2 linked regions of the Saccharomyces cerevisiae S288C genome follow. Changing the gene in region 1 together with any one later gene gives a genetic interaction. Each region holds a gene or a part of one and is shown on either strand. Other genes may lie near its edges.

What was found.
Region 2: mutations in INP51 (region 1) and ERG3 together harm fitness more than expected from each alone (negative genetic interaction), as found in Saccharomyces cerevisiae (5 studies listed by BioGRID, with this or other methods).

What each region holds. Positions count from the first base shown.
Region 1 is NC_001141.2:351,820-355,577, forward strand, and holds the start of INP51 (phosphoinositide 5-phosphatase INP51), read right to left. Parts: upstream 1,613-3,758; coding exon 1-1,612. Other genes in the region: YIL001W (uncharacterized protein), read left to right, coding at 2,121-3,662. UniProt on the Saccharomyces cerevisiae protein: Controls the cellular levels and subcellular distribution of phosphatidylinositol 4,5-bisphosphate (PtdIns(4,5)P2).
Region 2 is NC_001144.5:251,842-255,597, reverse strand, and holds ERG3 (C-5 sterol desaturase), read right to left. Parts: upstream 1,738-3,756; coding exon 640-1,737; downstream 1-639. Other genes in the region: putative mannosidase MNL2, read right to left, coding at 1-292; SAGA complex subunit SPT8, read left to right, coding at 2,518-3,756. UniProt on the Saccharomyces cerevisiae protein: C-5 sterol desaturase; part of the third module of ergosterol biosynthesis pathway that includes the late steps of the pathway. ERG3 catalyzes the introduction of a C-5 double bond in the B ring to produce 5-dehydroepisterol.

The sequences.
Region 1 (3,758 bases):
CACTTATATTAAATGTACCTGCAAAAATTGAGATGTCTTTCTCAAACGTATATTTTGACCTTAATTGCTTTAAATACTGAGAGATGTAGATATGGAGCGGGTCGTATAATCTAACTCGGGAACCAAATAACTTCGAATAAACCTTTGTATATTTACCAGAATTCTTCGTGTGCTTAGTATACGTTCGATCAAGCCAGTAATAGTTTTCTGACCATAGCTTATCATGTGCGTCCAAGAATGGGGAAGTCAATTCAAATACATCAATTTCATTTGTGGTTAATTCAAGTACCTCCTTGCTCACTAACCTTTCAACTGTGTTAGGTTTTTCAATTGAATCAAATGCGCTTATTCTTAATACCCCCGTTTGTTTTGCAAAGTAGATGCCCCTAGAGATATCATAGGCAAACGCTCCAAACTCGTAAATATCCTGTTTTAATAAATAAAGTAATTTGTGGGGAGACTTTGTCAGAACGCTTGAGCTGTATTCTATATTTGTTATTTTTATTCCCTTTGATTCAGCACAATCCTTGTACGTCAGTGCTAACTTTTCTTGTGATTCGCTTTTAGGTTTTATGATATTAACGATACTCACAACACCATACTTTGAGGTTAAATTATCAAAATGCCTGTCAAAAGCTCCCTGAGCTTCAATAGAATCTTTTGTTACCTTAATTTTTTTTCCATACAACAGTTGACTTTCTACAGATTCCCAAAAAAGAGGAATGCTTCCGTTCACTTGAGTATAAGAAAAAATAAACTTTTCTGTGGTTACTACAATTTCTGTCTCAACAAATAGCGACACTCTCCCATCTTCACTAATACCCTCCAATTCTAGCGTATCCTGCTTGCTCTCAGTCGAAATTCTGGAAATAATGGTTATAGAGGCTGTATTTGGGCCGTCTTCTATTAATGCTGTCTTGCAATAACCCCGAATTACAAATGTTAAGAACCCTGCGTTGGCAAAAAGTTGTTTCTCCTCATTTGAAATCTTGCTTCTCCAGTTGATTACCTCACTTGCTAAGTTAGCATTCCAAATAAATGATAAATCTTGATTATCTACGGTATATTCTAAGTTATGTGATAAACCATGGTTTTTCACGATATTAGAGATGTCGAAATCTCTAGAATAGTAGAATGTTCCATCACTAAACAGTTTTTTCAGGGGGCCGCAAGGATGCTCATGAATCAATTTATCATAGTTTTGCTCTGATCTCTCGCAGAGGAGGTAGTCGAAAACATCATTTTCTAAGCTGTAAAAGTCAACATCCAATACTTTATAAATGCTCTCCGAAGGCCTAACTTGATGATCTATCAGTTTCCATCGAGGAAACCCAACATTCTGAACACCAGATATGACGGCAACATATATATCACCATTAAGACAAACGAGCCCTAATAATCCATTAAATATGCAACTTTTGACTTCGAGATAGTTACTATCACTTGAAAGATCTGTGTCAGGGTAGGACTTGATTGTTACGCTAGGAGTTTTACTTAATTGACGCTGCTGAGAACTGGCACCTGGTATGCTGCGCAAACGCTGGAAGGATAAACAGTAGTTGTTGGAAGATATTACAATCGACCGTGATCTTCTACCGATGAAGAGTCTCATTGTAGTGAAATGTGCTTCGAATTCATACGATTAACACAACTTTATCAATATTTGCTGACTTAATCCTAGAATGAAATAGAAAGGCTATTTGATTTGTGTAGATATTTGTTCCAACTTTCCGGTTTACAAATGTTTAACAAAGGGATTCGTTTAGCAATTAGGCAATGCTAAACAAGAAGGAAAACAGGAAACCCTGAAGGAGATAAAACGACGTCAAGAATAGAAGATAAAAAAAAAGGGACATTAACAGGTTATATTGAAACTCAATTCCTGCCTAACCTTCTAAATTGAGAATTTAGAAACGGTATCGCTTATTCTGAATTCCTAAAACACCCATCCCTTTTAAGTAAAATAATAATACGTGGACTACGTAGATGTGGACACTCAATTTACTTACTATTCTCTATGGTCATATTGACAATAAACAAAAATACAAGAAAAAAAAAACTACAGGAAAGATTTGTCATAAATTGTACACTACCACTTGAAAACGACCTTTGGCATATTTATGGCAGATAAATTAATGGACAAAAATTTTGAAGAACTGTGCTATTCATGCCGCACTGGTGATATGGACAATGTTGATAGATTGATTTCCACGGGAGTAAATGTGAATAGTGTTGACAAGTTTGACAATTCGCCACTTTTTCTGGCTAGCCTTTGCGGGCATGAAGCAGTCGTGAAACTTCTTCTACAGAGAGGAGCCGTCTGTGATAGAGACAGATATGAAGGAGCTCGATGTATTTATGGAGCATTGACCGATACTATCAGAGATACCCTTTTAAGTTATGATATATCCAAGGCTGTAGATGTCAAGCAACCCTTTGCTACTCATATCTCATCGATGTATAATGACGAAGGCTTCCTTAAAAGAGATATCACATTCAGAGTTTCGAATGGAAAACTGTTCACAGCGCATAAGTTCTTATTATGTGCAAGGAGCGAAATTCTAGCAGAAAAAATGGTGAATGAGTGGGCAAAGCATGAAATTGTTTCTCTTGAAGTGCGCCCAGATATATTTGACATATTTTTGAAATTTCTTTACTTAATTCCGATCCTGCACCAAATTGAACCGGGACAATATGAAGAACTTATAGAGCTATCTAGTAAATTTGATATTGAGTTATTGCCCGAATTTTTAGACAAAGCAAGGCATACCGCCGATCCTACGGAAAAGTCGAGGTTAATGTCAGATTACCAATATAAGTTTACCGAGGTTGCAAGAAGTCAACTTTTAATATTTGTGAACAATTGTATCTTTAGATCTACTGTTGATCTTGCTAATAGTGAACGACGAGTTTTTTCCTTGATGAACTGTCCAGCTTATCCGGATGTTCAACTTATGGTAAAAAACCGAAATGGAGCCATTCGAATATACCCTTGTCACCTGGCTGTTTTGAGCCGCGCAGAATATTTCAAGGTGATGTTCACAAACAACTTCAAGGAGAAAGTTACATATATCAAAGCCAAGCACGTTACAGGAAAGTATAATAGTATCATTCCACAGCTGACATTACCCAATTGTGAGTTTGAGGTTGCCGAAATTATTCTCCGCTACTTATATGCAGATAATACAGACATTCCTTGGATGTATGCCGTCGATGTTTTGTTACTTGCCGATATACTTTTAGAAGACCGCTTAAAAACTATCGCTTCTACAATTATAACACAATCAAAAGAGTTTATTCAGCAATACAATGTTTTTGACGTACTCTATTTATCATGGGAAATAGGAGTGGAACGCTTAGAACAATTTGCAGCTAAATTTATAGCTATACATTTGCAAGAGTTATATAAAGATCCAGAGATTAAAAGGGCAATTATGTTGAGTTCACAACGAATTTCTCTCCGCCAGGAAACTGATACTATTGAACTAGTGGATGACATTAGGTACTATTTGCTCCGAAAATATTCTTTTGAACCGGATGATGTGGAGCTGTTCGAAAACCAAGACGATTTAGAATACCTAAAACAAGTAGGGTATTTGGAGTACAGAAAAGATATGGGTATGTTAGATAATATCCTAGCTGATCTGGAACTTGATGTATAATTCCGCATTCAATAACCTTATGTATTTTTACGCGTCACTGCGAACGGATGAATATTGCCAATGACTGCTGCGCACTCTTAAAAAATATAATGACAA
Region 2 (3,756 bases), on another chromosome or scaffold:
CTCTCAATGTAGCTGGATCTGACAAATCCACTGCAACGTTGCCATTTTCCTTGTCGGTGGCTATTCGGTCAGAACCGGTTGACGATAGGTCTGGAGGATCCAGTTTCGAAGAACCTTCTGTATTGTGCTCATAGTTGTTTATGGACGGTAGTGAGTCGTTTAAAGCGTACGAATTCAAGATATCGATTTCATTCTGGAACGTATAGTAAAACAATAGCGATATGGTAATGAAAAGTAAGAGAACCGATCGTACTCTTCTGAAAAGAGAGTATACTAATCGCGCTATGGACATAAGGTTTTGCTTATAGAGTAGTGGCGGCCTTTTTCTAGTTAACACTTGCGCTTCACCGAAATCTTGGGCATTTTAAAGCTTCCAGCTTCCTATTTGCCTGTTCTTAAATTTTCCAGCTCTTCGATTTTCTGTTTTTTTTTTCACTAGAATAGGAAAAAGAGCCATTAAATGAACGCAAAAATTTAATATACGAATAGCGCATATTGCACTAACGTGAGGTGTACATCATAATGATATGCGTATCTTAAAACATGTATGTGTATATAAATATATAAACGTTATTCGTTGTGTGAAAGTTCTTGAACGTGAAAGAAAGAAAAAAGATGAGACAAACAAGGCAACCGTATTCAGTTGTTCTTCTTGGTATTTGGGTCGTTTTCATAGATTCTATCATTATCATCACCTTCGACCTCCTTGATGAAATGTTCAACTTCCTTAACTTGAGCGTCCCAGGTCTCCTTAGCATCTCTTAACTTAGGATCAAACAATGAGTCATCTGGTCTACGGTAAGAACCCCCTAGTCTGTCCCACAGAGTGGTGAATTGACCGTAGTTGTAGTTGAAATATAGATGGTGAACCGTGTGGCAGGCAGTACCGTTGACGGCAGGATTGTTTGATAGGTATTGACCGTCATGAATCATAACAGTCCAAAAGTTAACAAAAGTGAACAGAATCAAATAAGAAACCTTGTGTAATGGCAGAATCAATGGGTAGATGTGGTACGAGATGGATTGCAAAAACCCGTCTACAGGATGGAAAGAATGAGATGCGAAAGGTGTGCAGACCAGCCACTTGTGATGAGGCTTGTGCAGAGCACGGTAGACCCTTGGCCAATGCAACCATCTGTGCGCTAAATACACACCGCAATCAGTGAAAAAGATGAAAGTGAAGTACTCGATAATGAGCTTCCTTACACCGTGGTTTTCATAATCAATCTTCATGTATAGTTTAGAATGGCCGTTCAATTCCATAACAAACCATGGAACGGTCAACATCGACATCCATGGGATAGCACTGACTGCCAACTTGATTTCCATTGCCATTTGGTTTTTCAAGTAACGAGGATGGTTGAAAATCGACTTGTCAAACACAAACACGTAGCTGAGACTAGCCGTGAATAAGTAAAGTAGTAAACCAAAGATCGTAACAATAACCCATAGTGAGAGGAATTCTCTCAAGATGCTGGAACGAGGCAATAGCGATGCAAAAGACGTCGTCGACATATCAAACAGGAATGGCACCTGCCCGTAGAACCTTCTACATTCTTTGACGGCATTCTTGGAGTTCAAAGTCTCCTGCAAAATCGTAGAATTGCTGAACCCACTGTTCAACCCTAGCAATTTCTGCCACTTGACAGGAATATTAGCTGCCAACGAAGCGGGCAGAACTTTAGCGTACAAGTCGTCTAAGACATAATGGTCAGCGACTTCTAAGACCAAATCCATATCTCAAATCTAGACGAATATTTTTCTTATTATCTTTTTTTACAAATGCAACAAACTGACCTCCTCTGCAACCACTTCAAAGAACAAGACAAATGTAAAGAATGAATGAACAAGTGAATGAAAAAACGAATTGATAAGAAAGATAGAAATCCGCCTCTAATATATACCGCGATGTTTCTTTCGACCGTTACATAATAGCAGCAACAACAATACCCGATCGCTGCTGAACCTCTTGTTTCAATGCACCTGCTGTTCTTCTTCACCTTCTATTGTGCCACTTATACGAGCCTGAATTTTTCGTTTATCGCAGCCATCGGCCTCGTATACACCCCGGTTGCCCTGGGGCGCAACTAAACGACCGAAATAATGCCCGGGAGTTTTCGGGTGGTCTGCCCCGGGCACCGATCTCGGTCGTTTAGGCCGCAGTGGGTCGTGCCACACGGCAGCGATGCAAGGGACAACGCGTCGTAACTTGCGATGCCCGACAATCGCAACAAAAGGCGTCGTTTCGCGGTTTTTTCGTATCATTTTTTTTTTCAGTTTTTCTTCTTTCGGCTATGAAAAAAATGGCAGAGCTGCCCTAATCTATTTTTATGGATGCCCTAATATATTGTCACTCTGTACGTAGGGCTTCCAGAATGCCCTTTCAGGAAGGATTCTAGCATAATAGACGCATCATATATTATAGCGTAGTGGTGCCAGATGCTGGGCTGTAAAAGGCTGTAGCAGTAACTGTAGTGTACTAAAGGCTCAGTTTTTTTTTTTTTCTTCTTTTACGTAATGGACGAGGTTGACGATATTCTAATTAACAACCAGGTGGTGGATGACGAGGAGGATGACGAAGAGATGCTGAGTGGGCTGGAAAACGACTCAAAGCAGGACCTCGAGGGGAATGATGACGGTGGTGAAGATGAAGAGGATGACGATGATGATGATGAGGACGATGATGATGACGAGGACGAACGAGAGGACGACGATGAACAGGAGGACGACGATGGTGAGGACGACGCCGCAAGAATGGATAAGACTGCTACACCGACGAATGAGCACCAGCATGATGAGCAAAAGGCTGCTGCTGCTGGTGCTGGCGGTGCAGGCGATAGTGGCGATGCTGTTACTAAGATTGGATCCGAGGATGTGAAATTGAGCGATGTTGATGGAGGAGTGGGGTCCAGGGAAGCATCTTCCTCTACACACGAAGCCTCTGCTAATGGAGAGGTTTATGAGTACTATAAGCACATGTTGAATGCCGCACAGATTGCGGATTCGTACAATATCTACCCCACGGCAGCCATACCCATCCAGACGCACGTCAATGCGTTGGCCGTGTCCAGGGGTCTCAAGTACCTGTTTTTGGGCGGTAGCGATGGATACATAAGGAAGTACGACTTGCTGAACACGCTTGAGGGGAAACTTTCTCTAACTATCCTGCAGAAGCATTCGTTGGCTGAGTCTATTCAGAACGCGGGTATCTTGCAGTCGTACTGGGAAAATGAGATCCCGCAGAAAAAATCAGAAATGAAACTCTCCGCTAATAAGACAGATTACGAGCCCAAAGTTAGCCCCGTTCATTCTTTGGAAGTCCAAAGCGAATGCCTCTTTATACTGAGCGGGCTACAGAATGGTGGGATTACCATGCAGGGCGTTCGCTACATGGAGGGGAGCATTGCGCACTATTTTAAGGGCAGGAATGGACATACCCAAATCGTTAACATACTGAGATTAAACGGTCAAGAGGACAGGTTTTTGAGTGGTTCCTGGGATAAGCGTCTTTTGGAATGGGATTTGCAGACGGGTGACATAGTTAATGAGTTTAAAAAATCAAGGTCTGAATTGTCATCTTTGGAAATGCGGCCGCTGTACTCGTCCGTGGATGTGTCCGGTAACGTCAACAGTGGTAAAGAGAATGAAAATGCAGATGACGATATGGATTCTCTGTTTGGTGATGAAGACGAAGACGAAAAGCAAGATGCTGGCAACGAACCCGTCGAGACGGGGGATGGTTCTAATGGTGAAGAG